Linked DNA regions of Schizosaccharomyces pombe. Changing the gene in region 2 together with the main gene of any one other region gives a genetic interaction. Each region holds a gene or a part of one and is shown on either strand. Other genes may lie near its edges. The genes, in order: mog1 and spi1.

Region 1 (9,180 bases), on a different chromosome or scaffold from region 2:
AAGTTCTGGCTTCTTCATTTCATCTGTTGAATCGACAGACATTGGTATTTAGGAGCTTTGTCCATTGAGCCTTCTTTACTTTGTCTTAATAGACGTACTGTTTGCAAAGGGTTTTATACAGTGATTTTAGCGTGAAAAAAATTAAGAGCTCTTCGGTTTTTTCCGAGTTTCAAAATTTATTGTATATTCCTTTCTCTTGTATTTTGGGTTCATCATTTGTGGCATTCTCCGTTTTACACGCATCTGTTAGTGCATTACTTTCTTGATATTTTATCGCATTGGAGTAGATTTTGTCTTACTTAAATTTTATTTCAAAGCTTTGGCAAATCATCTGCTTACCTTTATTTCCTTTCTTTCTTTTTCATTACAGTCTTTTACAGGGAATTCCTTCCTTTTTTTAGAAATTTTCTTTCGTTAATATCTACCCATATATCGCCATTTATAAACTTGACGCTTATCCACCCTTACATACGGTTATCGTCATTTCAACCTGTTAACGGAGTGAATTTCTTTTAGATAAGTCACTTTGATCATTCACGGAGTTTGCTTATCTTGTTTGTTGAAGCTTTTCTCTTTTAGTGTTTGTATTTCTATTTCTTTTCCTTTACTTTTCTGATATTTTATTCCATCCATTAATTGGTTCTTTTTTCATTTTGGCTTACAAGAGCGGATAAGCATTAAGTCATCAGTCCCTCTTTTCAGTTCCTATTGAAATTGTTCATTCTTTTCTTTTTTCTGTTCGTTATTCTTTAACTGGGAACTCCTTTCACCATATTTCTAATTAGTCCTCATTCCTCAATCTATTTACAAGTTTTAAGCATAGTAGAAAATGTCTGGAAATAATGAAAATGTTTCAGGTATTACTGGTCATGATGCTGTCTCGGATGATCAGTACGCTTACGATTCAGAGGTTTATGATGACCAAAATGCATACCAACGCCAGCCTGCTGATGCGTATTCCAATGAGGAGTTTTTGGATCAGGCTGACTACGATTCTATGTATGGAGAGGGTTACAATGGGTATGATTACCCTACTGGTGTAACTGAAAGTTATGGAGATGAATACACTCCTGTCGACACCGCCTCTTCAGGTATCAATCAATATTCCACTGAAAAAGGAAAATTTACTCGTCCTTCAGATGAATACGAGTCTGAGTATTCAGATTACAATGCTCAGCCCTCAGATGCCAACAATTTTTACAATTTGAGAGGCGATGGTAGATACAACGCTTATGATCCTAGTTCCGATTCGTTGGCTAACGTCTACAACAGTGTGCCTTACGGTAGCAGTCCGTATGATTTTAGCAACTCTTCTTTTGTTGGTAATTCGGGCTCAGGTACCCCATTGGATGGCGATAGTGGTTCATTCTATGCCGATAGCGCTAATCTCACAAATCGTGAGCCTTATCCTGCCTGGACTCCTGAAAACGAACTCCCTTTAACTAAGGAAGAGATTGAAGACATATTCATTGATCTAACCAATAAATTGGGTTTCCAACGCGATTCCATGCGTAATATGTATGATTTTTTTATGTGTCTTTTAGATTCTCGTGCTTCTCGCATGACTCCAGATCAAGCACTGCTTACGCTTCATGCCGATTATATTGGTAGTGATATTGCTAACTATAAAAAATGGTATTTTGCTTCTCAGATGGATCGGGAAGATGCAGTCGGTCTTGCTAATGTTGGCATTTATGGTGGTAAAGTTACTTCTATCAAAGAGAAAGGAAAGTTCTTTTCTCGAAACAAAAAAGCCCCTAAAGTTGTTAAGCCTCCAAGGAAGTCTCGCTTCAAGCGCAAGAAGAAAAAGGAGCAACCCGAGGAGGCGGAAGACGAATACATTGATGTTAATACCGATGATTCTTTAGAATCCGCCGAATATCGTTGGAGATCTCACATGCGCTCAATGACTCAATTCGAGCGTGCTCAACAAATTGCATTGTGGCTTTTGTTGTGGGGTGAGGCAAACAATGTTCGTTTCATGCCTGAGGTAATAGCCTTCCTTTTCAAATGTGCTTACGATTATATTATTTCACCTGAGGCACAAAACGTCACTGAACCAGTTCCTGAAGGATATTACTTGGATAATATTGTTTCCCCACTCTACCAATATATGCACGATCAGCAGTTTGAAATTATCAATGGGAAATATGTACGTCGGGAACGTCCACATGACCAGTTAATTGGATACGATGATATTAACCAACTTTTCTGGCATGCTGAGGGTATAGCACGTCTTATTTTTGAAGACGGCACTCGTCTTATTGATATTCCTGCTTCTGAGCGTTTTCATAGGCTTCCAGAAGTTCAATGGAATCGTGCTTTTTATAAAACTTATTATGAATCCCGTTCTTGGTTTCATCTTATTACCAATTTCAATCGTATTTGGGTCATCCACTTTGGTATGTTTTGGTATTTTACTGCTTTCAACTCTCCTACTCTTTACACAAAACCTTTCCATCAGCGCGATGGTCCCAAGCCAACAGGTGCTTCCCAATGGGCTGCTGTTGCTTGTACCTCTGTTGTTTCTTGTATTATCATGGCTGCTGCTTCTTTGTGTGAATATCTTTTTGTCCCCCGTCGTTTCCCTGGATCAAAACCCATTTGGAAGCGTTTATGTATCATTGTTTTAATCGCTATCATTAACTTGATTCCTATCGTCTATATCTTCGGTTTCTCAAGTAAGCATCAACAGCGTAGTGGTCGACGTATCGCTGTTGGTGTAGTTGCATTTTTGATGTCTATTGCTACATACGTCTACTTTTCTCTTGTACCTCTACAAAGTACATTTGGAAAATTGTCCGTGAAAGATTCTCGTAAATACTTGGCAAACAAGTATTTCACTTCAAATTTTGCACCATTAAAATTTGATAACCAAGCACTCTCTGTTATTATTTGGGTCTGTGTTTTCACATGCAAATTTGCTGAATCTTATTTCTTCCTTACCTTGTCTATCAGAGATCCTATTATTGTTTTGAGTACCATGCGACCTTATCTTTGCTCTATTTATTGGGCGGGTAGCAGATTATGTTTTGTCCAACCAAGGATCATTTTGGGTATCATGTATTTTACTGACTTGATTCTCTTCTTTTTGGATACGTACCTTTGGTATATTATTTTCAATACTATCTTCTCTGTTTTAAGATCATTCGTCTTAGGTATTTCGATCCTCACACCATGGAGAAATATCTTTAGCCGTATGCCCCAAAGAATTTATGGTAAAATTTTGGCCACGAATGACATGGAAATTAAGTACAAACCTAAAATTTTAATTTCACAAATTTGGAATGCGATTGTCATTTCTATGTATCGTGAACATTTACTTTCCATTGATCATGTACAACGTCTTCTGTATCATCAAGTTCCAGCTGAAGAAGGACGTAGGACTCTTAGAACCCCTACGTTTTTTGTCTCTCAGGACGATAATATTGTTCACACTACTTTCTTCCCTGCAAATTCAGAGGCAGAGCGTCGTCTTTCTTTCTTTGCACAATCTTTAGCTACTCCCATTCCAGAACCAGTACCTGTTGACAACATGCCTACTTTCACTGTATTGATTCCTCATTATGCTGAGAAAATTCTTCTATCATTGCGAGAAATCATTAGAGAAGAGGACCAGTTGTCTCGTGTCACCCTTTTAGAATATTTGAAACAGCTTCATCCTGTTGAATGGGACTGTTTTGTGAAGGATACTAAGATTCTGGTAGAGGAAAATGCTCCATATGAAAATGATTCTGTCTCTGAAAAGGAAGGTACATATAAAAGTAAAGTTGATGATCTTCCTTTTTACTGTATTGGTTTCAAATCTGCTATGCCCGAGTATACGTTACGTACCCGTATTTGGGCTTCCTTAAGAAGTCAAACGTTGTATCGTACTATCAGCGGTTTTATGAACTATAGCAGAGCTATCAAGCTTTTATATCGTGTTGAAAACCCCGAAATCGTTCAAATGTTTGGTGGTAACACAGATCGTTTGGAAAGGGAGTTAGATCGCATGGCTCGTCGAAAATTCAAGTTGGTTGTCTCAATGCAACGTTATGCAAAGTTCACAAAGGAAGAGTATGAAAATGCCGAATTTCTTCTCAGGGCTTATCCTGATTTGCAAATTGCTTACCTTGACGAAGATCCTCCTGAAGAAGAAGGTGCGGAACCTCAATTGTTTGCTGCTTTGATTGACGGTCACTCTGAAATTATGGAAAATGAACGTCGTCGTCCGAAATATCGTATTCGTTTGTCTGGTAATCCTATTCTTGGTGATGGTAAATCTGACAATCAAAACATGAGCTTACCATTCTATCGTGGTGAATATATTCAACTTATTGATGCTAATCAAGATAATTATCTTGAAGAGTGCCTTAAGATTCGAAGTGTTCTTGCTGAGTTTGAAGAAATGGAGACCGACAATGTTAACCCCTATTCTGAAAGTGCTCGTGAAAGAAATAAGCATCCTGTAGCTATTCTTGGTGCTCGTGAATACATTTTCTCTGAGAACATTGGTATATTGGGTGACGTTGCAGCAGGCAAAGAACAAACATTCGGTACTCTTTTCTCTCGTACACTTGCGCAAATTGGCGGTAAACTTCATTATGGTCATCCAGATTTTCTTAACGGTATCTTTATGACTACACGTGGCGGTGTTTCTAAAGCTCAAAAAGGTTTACACGTCAACGAAGATATTTATGCTGGTATGAATGCTATGCTTCGCGGTGGACGTATCAAGCATTGCGAGTATTTCCAATGTGGTAAAGGTCGTGATTTAGGTTTTGGCTCAATTTTGAATTTCAACACAAAAGTTGGTACTGGTATGGGTGAACAAATGTTATCCCGTGAGTATTATTACTTAGGTACGCAGCTTCAACTTGACCGTTTCCTTTCTTTTTATTTTGCTCACCCCGGTTTCCATCTTAACAATATGTTTATTATGCTTTCTGTTCAACTTTTCATGGTGGTCCTTATCAACTTAGGAGCAATTTATCACGTTGTCACTGTTTGTTATTACAACGGTAATCAAAAGCTTAGTTACGACACTAGTATCGTTCCACGTGGTTGTTATCAATTGGGACCCGTTTTGTCTTGGCTGAAGAGATGTGTTATTTCAATTTTCATTGTGTTTTGGATTTCGTTTATTCCCCTTACTGTGCATGAATTAATTGAACGTGGTGTTTGGAGAGCTACAAAAAGATTCTTCAAGCAAATTGGTTCTTTCTCCCCCTTGTTTGAGGTTTTTACCTGCCAAGTGTACTCTCAAGCTATTACCTCGGATCTTGCATACGGCGGTGCTAGATATATTGGTACTGGTCGTGGTTTTGCTACTGCTCGTTTACCTTTCTCCATCTTGTATTCACGCTTTGCAGTCCCTTCAATTTACATTGGAGCTAGATTTCTAATGATGTTGTTGTTTGGTACTATGACTGTTTGGGTTGCGCACTTGATCTATTGGTGGGTGTCAATCATGGCTCTTTGTGTTGCTCCATTTTTGTTCAATCCTCATCAATTTGATTGGAACGATTTCTTTGTTGATTATAGAGAGTTTATTCGCTGGCTTTCGAGAGGTAATTCTCGTTCTCATGCCAATTCATGGATCGGATATTGTCGATTAACCCGCACTAGAATAACTGGTTACAAACGTAGGGTACTAGGTCAACCAAGCGATAAAATTTCAATGGATACTCCACGAGCAAAGTTTACGAATGTTTTCTTTAGCGATGTGTTAATCCCTGCCTTGTTAGCTGCTGGTGCCATTATCCCTTACTTCTTTATCAATTCTCAGCCTGGAAATCCCATGTTTATCACTGATCCAAATAATCCAAGCCCATATGTTCATGACACAAAGACAGGTACTAATCCCATTTTGCGACTTGTTATTATCTCTCTCATTCCTATTGCAGCAGGCTTTGGTATGTCAGGTTTCTTTGGTGGTATGGCTTGTTGTTTGGGTCCAGCCTTTGGATTGTGCTGTAAAAAGTTTCCATCTATTTTTGCTGCAATTGCCCACACGATCCAAATTTTCATCTTCATTGCTATTTTTGAAGTCTGCTGGTTCCTTGATGGATGGTCATTACCCAAGACTGTGTTGGCCTTCTGTGCTGTTACTGCAATTCATCGTTTTATCTTCAAAATTTTAACACTATTATGTTTATCTCGTGAGGTCAAACAAGATAGTGCTAATATTTCTTGGTGGAGTGGTAAATGGTATGGCAAAGGATATGGCTATCATGCCTTTACTTTGCCTGCTCGTGAATTTGTCTGTAAAGCCATAGAACTTAATTTGTTTGCTACTGATTTCTTCTTGGGTCACTTATTACTGTTTTTTATGCTTCCTGTGATTTGTATCCCATATATTGATCGTTGGCATTCAGTTCTTCTTTTCTGGTTGCGCCCAAGTCGTCAAATTCGTCCTCCTATTTTCTCTACCAAGCAGAATAGACTGCGGAAACGTATTGTTCGTCGTTATTCAGCCTTGTACTTTTCAATTTTGGTAATATTCCTTATTCTTATTATTGTTCCATTGGCAGCTGGTGCAGAAATCCGCCAAGGATTAACTGCTTCTGAGGCTGTTGCCAAGGGTGCTGTTGGATGGAACCAAACTAACTCTTCAATTGGTAGCGGTATCATTCAACCAAGGGACACGAATTATACTGCTAATTATTCTTTCTGGTACGACAGATACCATTTCGAATTCAATACCACTTACTAGATGGGATTATTAGAAAAATCATTTAAAATGAATTTGAAAAGATGCGCTAGTTCGCTATTATATTACACTGATGTTCTGATGAGCTTTCGTCAAGTATCTCAGCAATTTATTAATTTTATTTGTTACACTCATTTCATTCATACATTTCAGCATGTGCTTGGTCCCATCTCTTCGACTTGAGTTATTGAGCTCTGAAGGATAAAAGCAAAGCTAAAGGGTTAACCGTTTATCATTTTTTACTCATACCATCTTTCTATCTACGTTACATTTGCTATTTCACCATTTACAAGTTTGAGATTGATGAGTTTTGTTACAAGCCTTTTCAGGTTACAGTTTGATGGGCTAGGATTTTATGCATATATATACATTTCTTCATTTATCTATATACAAATGAATAAGAATTCCCATTGGTTCACAAAACTTTTACCTATATTATTGCTGGTCAGTTAATGGATATTTGTTTAAAATATAAGGTGATGTAATTGTGTAAAAGTATTGAAGTAGATTATGATACCGTACATAAATTGATCTTTTGGTTGAATACTTATTATCTAGTGAACGTTTAATTTAGGTTTTTCAGATCAATAGAAAGTTTGAAATAACCACTCTAGTGTGCAATTCCATTTCTCTTTTGTATCACACAAGTGGAAGGCTGAACAACTAATCAACTTAATCGTAAAAGTTATCAGACGCCCTATCCTTGTATTAGTTATGGATATCTGAATGGACTCATGATTACAAGATTACGAGCGTCCTTTCATCCATTTGATATACTAGTTGTCAAAACGATATTAGAAACTATATATGTGTACAAAATTTTATTTTTAACATATCATTTTCATTAAAAATCATCAATTTGAATTTCTTTTTATTTTAATTTTAAATCAGTTTAGTAGTTACCGTGCAGTGCGTAAATATTGAAAATTGAATCTAGGCTCATTTAAAGCGTTTTACTAGCGATAAATATAATAATGAAACATAAAATAACACGCACTAACTTGTTACCGCAGTCGAATGAAATGGAGTGAAAATAGGAAAGAATCCTTTTGTGGTTCGAATACCAATCTGGTTCTTGAGACAAACAAATCTATTAGGTTTTTATATTTTTATAGTAATGGTACAGCTATTCGGTGGGGCTCTTTGTGCTGATTTCCCTCCTAAATTTCTCGATGCTAGCGTTTTGCGTCAGATTCCTGACAACCAAGAGGTGTTTTTGCAAGATTCCAAGGAAAACCTAACAGTGATCATTGAGCTTTTGGAAAAAATTGAGAAGCCATTTGATGGAAGTGTGGCAGCTTACCATTTCAATAGCATTGCATTCGATAATGATGCATCTCAAAGAGTAATTTGGAGAGACAAAAGTCTTGGTGAAGACGACTTTGAGGGCATGAGAAGCGAAAAGGCTAGTGGATCTTCTGTACAAGGTTGTCAGAGGGTCCTTGAAAAAGGAAAGCGAAATCCTGAATCCGCTACCAATGTGGCAATCTTCGTGAATGTGATAACTTTGATTGACTTTCAAACAGATATCGTAATCTCCGTAAATGCTCCTTTACCTAACACTTCCTCAGTTCCCTCTTCTGTTGAAAACATTCCCCCTTCTGATCAAAGCATCGTTCGCGCTGCTCTCGAAACAATACAGCGAGTTACTCGATCTCTTGTACTTGTCGATAAAACAGTATTTGCTTAAAGGATGATGGACATAGGCAAGCAAATTAACTAGCCCACAACACTTAATTAAGATTTTCATCTAGGGAAATACTTTTCAAGTTTTATTTTTCTTTATCCGAAAGGAATTGTTTCTCTTATTTATAAAAACCGGTTATTCCAACTTGTATGAAGGGTTTTAATAAAAACATCTGATACTTGATAACCGATTAGCAATGGTTTTCACTTTTTCTGCTATTATTTTAATTTTCCCATTCTTCCATTGTTAATAGTATAAGTTTCACTGTGTCTTTACAGTTTAATGTTTTATGATTTGAGAGTACAACGTAAAACGCTAGTTTCCAAAGAATAACGGAAATTACAATTTCAAGGTGTTTTGATTGTACAGCTTTTGTCCTTTACACTGCCGCTGTAGGACAGTGGTGATTAAAACAAGTTAATCATAAAGAATTATTAAACATTAAAATACTTTCTAATTGTCCCTAACTCCGTGCAAGTAAAGAACAAATATAGCGAATGAAACAATCTTTATGATTGAAACCTGTAAACGACTGACTAGAAAATACTGAATAAGAATTACCAAAAGATAGAAGATCTCTTCATTGAGAGGAGCTTTTCCACCCTTTGCAATAAAGAAAACAAACATTTAGGATATCATCATACGAAGAAGAACAGAAAAGAAGTAAAAGACAGAAAGTTCATCCCCCAAGACGGGTTCCTTTTCCGGGGAAAGAAGAAAAGGTCGACAGAGGTTCCGCAATGGGGAGTTGAGCATGCGACAGTTGATCAAAAGAGTGATAGTTTTTTACCCAAGACTG
Region 2 (9,644 bases):
CAATTATAAATGAGCGTTAGACAATTCGAGGACAAATGAGAGAAATAAAAACCGGATTATGCTATGTGAATGCAATTGAACACTAAAACGAAATTTCGGGGAGAAATCGATTCCAATGATAAAAATGATGTTCTAAGGGAGCAAAAATTGCCAACTTAAGATATAATACACTTGTTATGTTTTATAAGAAACTTTTTAGATGTCTTTTTGGGAACCGAAACCTTTGTAACTTTTGTTTGCGAAACAGGGGGCGCAGAAGTAACAGGGGTAGATGAGACAGCTGGTGCGTGCGGTGGAGAAGTTTCAGAGGCTGTAACAGGTATTTCTTTTATAACGTCTTGATTTGGGTATTGTGATGAAGTTATGTTTTCTGGTTCGGGCTCCTGAATCTGATTCTCTAGAAGTGCCAACCGCTCAATTGCTTCACTATGTCCTGCTTTAGCAGCCTCATTATACCAGTATGTTGCCTGTTCTGTATTACCTCTTGTATCGAATAAATAACCCATCAGGAATTGAGCATTAGCATTACCAGCCATAGAGGCTCTTTCAGCATGCATAAAGGCTAAATCCTCATCAACGGGTATACCATCCGAGCCGTTCAGGTACCATTTTGCAACCGCGAGATCAGCTTCTGTTTCCCCCCTTTTAGCGGCAGCACTGTAATAGAACAAAGAATATCGAGGAACGACAGGGCAGCCGTATTTTCCGAACTCATAGACAGCTCCCATTCGTAATTGAGCCGATGAATGACCCAAAAAAGCAGCTTTCGCAAAACTTTTAAGTGCAGTTGCTTCATCTATGGGAACTCTAATATTTTCAGACCCTAAATCTACTAATCCAGGATGTTCATGAAGATTCACCAAAGCATGACTATACAGTCCGGATGGAACATCGGCATCAGCTGTATCTGCGCTTCGTTCGAGAAGTTCTAGTCCACTAGCGTGCCTGTGTGCATATTCTCCAACACCGTCCAACATCCCTTCCAAAATTAAAAGCGATAGTCTCCAACAGCATGCACTGTCATTCTCTGAAACACCCTTTTCAAAATATTCGACGGCTTCTTCTAGGTTACCTTGATCTTCCAATAACACTCCTAATCTGTACAAGCTTCGTGTATAGCCTAGATTAGCAGAAGAAGAGTATAAGTCCCAGGCCCGCTGGATATCAGACTCTACATCAAAGGCACCTGTCTCGTAGACATAGGCATCGAAATACATTGCTTTAGCATTCTCTAACTCTGAAAATTCTCGAATTTTATAGAGCGCGTTTTCGCACATTGATTCCAAATAATTAATTTCATGGAGGTTTTCGCTTTCATATGTTTGAAGATATGGTAGATGAGATTGGGTAAATCGAAGGACGTATTCTGCCCACTCCAATGCTTCGTCAATGTCTTGAGAATGTACAAGGTCTTCATTGGCGCGAATCCAATCAAGTTGCTCTTCATCGGATACTGGTAAGGGAAAAGGTAAATCCGCTACTACCTGCTTTTGCAATGGGGATCCGTTATTCGGTTTAGGGTTGTGATTAGAAAAATGTGCCTCTTCATGAGGGAATACAACGTCCGCGGCTTCATTAGATGTACGTAAATATCCTGGGGCAACACATGGTGTAGAATGAGAGCGAGTTGCTGAAGGAGCTGAGTTTCTAATATTCGGCAAAGGACGGTCCCGTTTTGTTTCTTGTGAGCTGGTAGCGCGTTTAATAGTTAAAAGAATGCTAGAAGAGGATACGTTCGGTCGTGAATAAAAATTCTCTTTTTTCATGTTGGTTACAGAGGCACTCAAACTTTGTGTATCGTTCATTTCCGGTGCAATCATGTCGCCAATACCGTAGGCAGGTCCAATGGCATCTGTTTCAAAGGGAATGCTAGATTGAACATTGGAGAGGTAAAAAGCATTTATTCGTGAGGCAACTTGAGGATCGGTTATAGAATGCCCAATTGAGGACCTGTTTCTGCTTTTGATACCGCGTATATTGTTCACCGACTGAGAAGAATATGAAAATTCCGGCACACCCAAGGGGCTTCTATTTCGCATAGAAGATGCTGAATCCATTTAATGGACTTTTTAGGAGAATAGTCAGATTAGCAAAAGAAAACTCGTGTAACGTGAAAAAAAAGAGAGTAGCTAACCACTTTATAAACTTTAAAACAGATTTGTAGCGAACCTAGCAACTTTCACTAGAGGAAGATTTGAAAACAAATAATGTCTATAACTTAGATCCTTTTCCTCCTCAATCGCGTTCTAAAAGTAGATCTTATAATGAAAGGGTAGTGGGAGTTGTCAATATACACACATACACACATTGGAACGGTTACTTCCTTGACCAGCGCAGTATACCCTAACCAGCATAAATCGGGGTAACAAGGTGTAGAGGAAAGAACAGAAAAGATAGTAGTAGTAATGTGCAACGATAATCAACATGAATGAATATCAGGAATAACTAATAGCGCATAGCATAATAACAAACTTATATTGATGCACGTCTAAATAAAACTGCTTTATACATGAGGATGTAAACTAGCTATTCATAGAGTATTTGTATGTGTTACAAAAATTAGGGACCATTCAATTATGATAGGAAGAATGCCTTATTATGACTGATAAAACTGTTAGCTTATTCTTTTATCCGAAATTGAAAACAATTGATATTTCGCCAGCTCATTGTCACTTTAAACAAGGGATAATTTTATTTTAAAAGAAGAAAAAAATAAATAAATAAAGAGGTCAAGAAAAACACACGTATAAATGGATAATGTGCCAACTGAGACATAGTTACGAAATTTAAAAAATTTCAGTTAGAATTTTCTAACCAATCTGCGAATTTTTCCAAACGTTTTTCCTCGTCCTCTTCATCATCTAATGTATGCTTTCCACTTTTCTGGAACCGAACCTTTCCATCGTAAATTGAAGCTTCCACTACCCGGCCATCAAAATATCGGCCTTGCATTAACCTTACGCAAGCTTCAGCTTCTTCATTGTTTGAAAACCGTACAGTTACTACTCCATCAGGCTCCTTGTCGTACAAAACCACATTAGTAACTCGTCCACATTTCTCAGCTTCCTCAGTGATATCGTCTTTTAAGTCAATTAAAAGTTCAGGTGTTTTATCGAGTTCTTCCAGCGTAAAAATATGCTTTAAAACTACTATTTTATTAAATCGTTTTTTTCTTTTATCATCAACCTCTTCGTCAACATCATCCCAGGATGAAATTTGCCTAAAACCTGTTAGCTCTATAAATTAAAAGATAAAACCGAGAAAGAAAAAAGTTGGTATGCAACAATAAATAAAAGAGAAATTTTTTATGAGTATTCATTACATAACATACTGCATTTGTTGTTGTCGGAGACGAAGTGCCTTTTTTTTTAAGGCACCACCTACGTCTTTGTTCACCGTTTTCTCCTTTTTGTAATCAATATTAGCTTTCTGGACACGCATCTTTTGCCCAGATCCATAACGAAATTCAGTGTCATCAAATAATTGCTCTGCAAGCTCAACACTTTCGCTGCGGAAAAATACAATTAAAGCATCACCTTTAGGAGTTCCATCCTCTGTCCGGTAGATTTTGATTCTCGGCGTACCATTGTCAATATTCTTAGCAATAACACCGCATTTCTTGAATACTTCTTCAATTTCGTCAACCGTGACATCCAGTGGTAGTCCTTGAATGTAAACCGCTTTGTTTATTACTGGGGCGGGCGAGGCTTCTGAATTTTCGGACTTTGACTTTTTATTTCGAGAACCTGAAGGATACCCTTCAGCCGATGTCGATTCGTACAATCGTTTGGTATGGCGGTCTTCGCCGTTGCTAGATTCCTTTCCTTCGGTAGCCTCCGCCGTAACATCACTGACTTCTGCACCAGTTGAGCCGGCCTTATTCATTTTTAAGCTATTAGGATCCTTGTTTAGTTAGGGGTCATGTTTGTCTCAATGGAATGGTAAAGCAAAATTGTTCATCGTACATAATCTTTCCAAGTTTGTTCTTCATCAATATATATTAATTCGTTTCCTTCTGATCCTAAACATCTCCAACGATGTATTCTTTCATCCCAAAAAGGCTGGCTGGACATAATCTACGAGCTCTAAAACGATTATAACTTGGTAAAGTTCAAAATGACCTCGATTGTTTTCACATAACGATTTCTAACAACGCCACAATATATATGTAGAGTAATGTCACTGCTTTGTATAATATGTATGGAACAAAATACAGCTTCTTTAGAGATTGAGGTAAACAATTAATGTATTGATTGTCAATATTCTTATTAATGCCAGTAGCATTGAATTTTCGCATTAACGCATACACTTTGTAACCTATCGTTACACAAGTCAAAAGTATTAGTTTAGTTTTCAATTTAGGGATTTGCCTACGGCTAACAGCACGCAACTCGCATACCTATGTTGTTGAATGCCAAAACTACCAAAAAAACTAAGACGATAAATCAATAAATAGGCAGGCATAGTTTCTTTACTAATCCTAGTCCTCAAAAAATCTTCCTTGGTATGCCAGAACTTGTCCATCAGTCGCACACAATATCAATTTTAAACTGAAACAAAACATACAGGCAACAAATGTGTATTTCTAAAAATGAAGTTACCAAAATTACAATTAACTTAAAAAATACGATTTACACTTTTTACCACACATAGTGATATGAACATATCAAACTAAACATAATCTATTTCAAATAACCCCAACGGAATAGCTTAATGAATAAATTCTTTCGAGTGGAAAAATACTAATAAGTTTTATTTAAGGAAAAGAAGGGGTATTTTTTCGAAACCGGAACCGTCCCATCGGCCAGGAACCAATGTATTTTATCTGCAAGGGAGACGTAAAAAAGATATAAAAAATTGGTTTACAAATCAGCGTCATCCTCATCAGGTAAAGGCATAGCAGCAGCCTCGTTCATTTCCTGTTGGTATTGAGCTAACAATTGCTGATCGACTTGAACCTCAGGAGGAGCAAGGGCAGGCGAAGCAACAAACTCCAGGTTGGGGTTGCCAACCAGCTTACGGGCAAGCCATAAGAAAGGTTTTTCGAAGTTATAATTGGACTTGGCGGAGATGTCGTAGTATTGAAGGTTTTTCTTGCGATGGAAAGTGATAGCCTTAGCCTTGACTTTACGCTCTTTAACATCAACTTTGTTACCGCAAAGAACAATGGGAATGTTTTCACAAACACGGACAAGATCACCTGCATTCGATTAGTAATGTTCATTAAAGTAGTCAAAAAAAGCTAATGTCAATATACTTATAACCATTAAATCTAGCGGTCTATGAGTATCAAAAAAAACATTTAAAGCTTTTTTTTGCTTAAATATCACTTACGCCACCAATGGGGAACATTCTTATAGGTAATACGGGAAGTAACATCAAACATGATAATACCACATTGACCTTGAATATAGTAACCATCACGAAGGCCACCTAACTTTTCTTGACCAGCGGTATCCCAAACATTAAAGCAAATTTCACCAAAATTAGTATGAAAATGCAAAGGATGGACCTCAACACCCTAAAAATATGTTAGACTGTTGTTTCTAAACGAAAGATCTAAGCATAAAAAGAGTAACTGAAAACCGATGATGCACGAGTACAGATAACTGTATGTCTCATAAAAAGATGGCATTTATTTACGATACTAGGCATCGTTTCCGGTATACAAAAACTGTTCTAATAAAGTAAAATCATAAAACGTACCAAAGTTGCAATATACTTCTTTTCAAATTCACCAGTCAAATGACGCTTGACGAACGTGGTCTTACCGGTACCACCATCGCCGACAAGTACAAGCTTAAAGGTAGGAACGTTTTGTGGTTGAGCCATACTAAACTTTTCTCTGTTGCACCTAAACTAACTGAGAGTTTGGTTAAAGGAAAATTTTAGTGGTGCGTAATTTTTATATGAATAAAAGACCTGGGTATAACAAAACCCTAACCCTGATAGTCGATTGGAATTTAACAGAAAAGGGAGTGTATGGTATAGTTTTTTAATGCCGATTTAACGAATTGTTTAACGAGTTTGACTATTGCTCTTATTGAAGTTGATCGCCAAAAAATGGATATAGTGTCGTTTTTGAAATTTCAAAAAAGAATTGCTTCTACGAAAAGCTACATTTGTGCGTACTTGCTTATACATTCTGGGTTTATACACAACTTACAAGCAGCCAATGCTTACTTTTTGGACGTCACTACACGGTTTTGATTGCATGTAAAGATAAAAAACCGCAGCCAAGAAAACGTATTTGCTAATCCAAGGAATGCCAGGAATGCCCATACATAGAAAACAAACATTCTAAATTTTCATTAGCTATATTAGTATCACTAGTAAAAGGCCTACGAATTCTGCAATGATCCAGGTCCGCTACCAGCGTGGACTCAGCTGGATCGAAATGATCGAAATAAAGATTAAAAATAAAACAAACGAAAGTGGTAGGAAGTCGACAAACAAATGAAAATTATCAGTAAAAAAATGCTGAATTAATAGAATGATGCATTTGCTTTTAAAAATTTATGCAATAAAAGATAAAAGCAAATAATTCAACGTTAAATAAGCCATATGTGCATGATGAAGATACTATAGCTTCCGCTAGTAAATGTCGGTAAACCAGAATCGAAATGAGCGTATCAAATATGCCCGGTTAATTCTTAAATTGGTGTCAAATATGTCCGCAGTAAAAGCATCAACGAATTTAAAATTCAAACATATTAGCTATGTTTTCAATTTTGAAGGGATATTTAGTTTGAAAATAGATTAAGGAAAACCAGATACTAAGAACAGGGTCTGTTGCGCAGGTTTTAGAATTGGAATGTGTTGCACTTTGCTTTTGTGGATTTTGAGGAGTGTCGGTATTTATTTTTGCTTGCTTGATTTCTTATTCTTTTGTTTTGCATTCTTCTTTAATCCAATCGAAGAAGTGAGATTTGCTTCATTTTCATCATCAATTAATAGAGAAGGAGGCCTAGTACGAAGTTCTTTAGCTTTGCTAAGTGAAATGGTAGGCATTCTCGACGTTGTCAAAACAGGTACCGACATATCGCGTTCCACAGTAGCCTTGAGAAAAGCCGAAGACCAACGATGTAATTCTTCATTATTTTCACAAGTAAAATAATGAACCTTTGGTGGAGTGAACATAACTGCTGCTTTAGCGGCACCTGGAGCAGGTGGAATTAACTTGATAGCAGTTTTGCCTCCACTTAGAACAATGTCATCGGTTTTCGTAACACGATGAGAAGTCATATCAATTAGGCCTTTTTCTGAAGCATCATTTAATGAATGGTAATAAGAAAGCCTTGTTCCTTTTAATACAAAGTATCTAGACTTCCAAACACCGTAACGATCACTACGTTTCCGCATCCAACCATGACAGTCCGCCGTTTTAATTGCTTCTTTGGCAGGTATATTACTTAATCCTTCACTAATTCCAGTAGGTAAAACCTTTTGTCTCCCAAAAATATCACGTTTCGACTTTCGTTTACCTATTGGCTCTTTATTTAATGGTGATGAAGCAACAGAACGAAGGGTTGGACGAGTCTTTAACTCAGTGCCGACTGGAGGTGAAGCGGGTAAGGAAGCAGCCGGAGATGGAGCAACAAAAGTATTTCCTAATTTTGAGCCCTTCGTATCTTTGGGTTGAGGTTTTGAAAGAGGAGTGGCATAATTATTAACAGCGGATTTTTCGTTTATGGACACCCCTTTGCTTGTGACAGGCGATGATGCTTTTGCTGATGGGTCTGGCATTGATTCAGGTGACTTAGTAACAGAACTTGAACTCCCTTGTTCGAGATTGCTACTAGGGAGTCGAGAACTTATCGATGAAGGACTTTCACCATCAATAGTAGTAATCTTTGGAGGATCCAATTCTTCCAAAGCTTCGATAGATATAGCTGAAGCTGGTGCTTTTCCTTTCATAGCACTTGGAATAGGTCTAGGAGGTACGGAAGAAGATTCCGATGCACCGCCCGTAAATTTAGTAGGAACGTTAGAAGATGGTTGAGGAGCATACAAGTTGCCCTTAGATGAATGATAAGGTAAACCAGGAAATGAAGTTCCTTCCTTATCAACATCAATGCTACTGGTAGAAGGAGAAGAGATGGGCTCAGTAAGACGAGAAGGTAAACCGCTATTTTGAGAAATTGAGTCCGTAGGGGATGAACGTTTTAATATCGGTGATGTGGCCGAAGGTTCGTTAGAATCAAAACGAGATACATTTTCAGGGACCGCAGATTGCGTAGACTTAGAATTGCGCGAACTTGGTGTGGCTAAAGGAGGAATCACGTATTGGTTCCAATCGGTAGATGGAGATGAGTCCAAATCAGGTGAAACAATCATATTTGACAAAGAAGGCATCACACTAGTCGGACGATTAACATAATCGTTAAATCCCGGACGAGTTGGACTGGATTTTGATGGTGAACCGCCGGCTTCATCATTAGATTTTTTTGGAATAGAAGAGGAGGAATCAGAACTTTGGCTAACAGAAATAGGCTCAGCAAACTGCGGATATTCTTCATATAAAGATTGTTCGTATGAATCTTTTAATTGTTGGATCTTTCGTAAAACTTCAAAACGTTTTCCAAAAGAAGTAATGTTAAGTTCTTTCAAAACATTGGAATCTAAGCCTAATAAAATTTCACCGGTTATTTCATTCTCCGCAAAATTAGGAGCTACTGATCCAAGGCCGGCATTCATAAGCCATTCAACTACCTCTTCCGTAGACCAGTTAGGAACATTTTGAATTTTTTCGGAAACAGCAAGAGAGGATGCAGGTCGATTTTCAATATAGGGCAAAGGTGAACTGTCATTTGGAGTACGAGATGCTGAAGTTGACATATTCTGTAAAGCTGTTTCAATATCTGTAATAGTTTCTCTAACGGAATCCTCAGCTGACAAAACCTTTTTCAAGCTTGCTGAAGTAGCAGGAGCAGAAGTAGAAGCAGAAGCATTATTATAATCGGCATCAATAGTGTTGAAGTTTGATAGATCTGAGGAAGGTTGGTTATCCAACAAAGGGGAAGGGCCTTCTTGTTTAGAAGATGGAAACATTGAGTTAAAATTACTAGGGACCGAAGGTTTCGAAAGACTATCAAGGGGGCCGTTTAAGATTGATGAGTGACTTGAAGACAAGGAATTATTCGAATACAACTTTTCACTGTCCTTGTCCGATCGTGAAGAAGTTGACCGGCTGCTTGATAAAGAGGATCTTGTGACTTCCGCGGTAGAAATGGAGAAATCTTCTTTGCCTCTTCTTGAATCACTTGAGTCAGACCTCTCATCAGATATCAATTCTACGTGCGAAGCAGGAAAAATACCCCTATTTCCCTGTTCATCTTCTCCCTATTAAAACTTAGTTAGTATGATAAAAATATATCAAGGTTTCACAATCCTAAGGGCATGCAACTTTGACATATAGTGTTTGCATCTTTATGTGGATTGGAAAACTGTACAAAGCAGGCATCAAGAATCCTTCAAATTATAAAATATACCAGGAATAAAAATAATAGGATTTTGACTTCGAAGTTATATACTTACTTCCCACCAACCATCACCAAATTCTTCATCCATCTTTATCAACAGATACTTCCGACCTTCAACCAACGGAAGTTCATCACTACTCTTCCCCGGAAAGGAATGCAAAG

The links.
Region 1: of spi1 (region 2) and mog1, a mutation in one rescues a mutant of the other (synthetic rescue), as found in Schizosaccharomyces pombe (2 studies listed by BioGRID, with this or other methods).

The regions. Positions count from the first base shown.
Region 1 is NC_003421.2:2,246,796-2,255,975, reverse strand, and holds mog1 (Ran GTPase-binding protein Mog1), read left to right. Parts: upstream 1-7,770; 5' UTR 7,771-7,811; coding exon 7,812-8,384; 3' UTR 8,385-8,615; downstream 8,616-9,180. Other genes in the region: cell wall and secondary septum 1,6 branched 1,3-beta-glucan synthase catalytic subunit Bgs4, read left to right, coding at 830-6,697; Golgi rhomboid protease Rbd2, read right to left, coding at 9,061-9,180. UniProt on the Schizosaccharomyces pombe protein: Involved in the Ran-GTPase system for nuclear protein import and poly(A)+ mRNA export. Required for mitosis-to-interphase transition.
Region 2 is NC_003423.3:4,381,485-4,391,128, forward strand, and holds spi1 (Ran GTPase Spi1), read right to left. Parts: upstream 5,878-9,644; 5' UTR 5,833-5,877; coding exon 5,707-5,832; exon of another isoform or gene 5,522-5,706; coding exon 5,335-5,521; intron 5,232-5,334; exon of another isoform or gene 5,201-5,231; coding exon 4,863-5,200; 3' UTR 4,665-4,862; downstream 1-4,664. Other genes in the region: chr4 (SEL1/TPR repeat protein1, 3-beta-glucan synthase regulatory factor Chf3/Chr4), read right to left, coding at 156-2,057; U2 snRNP-associated protein Uap2, read right to left, coding at 2,797-3,220, 3,332-3,903, 3,966-4,073; pob1 (Boi family protein), read right to left, coding at 6,859-9,342, 9,538-9,644. UniProt on the Schizosaccharomyces pombe protein: GTP-binding protein involved in nucleocytoplasmic transport. Required for the import of protein into the nucleus and also for RNA export.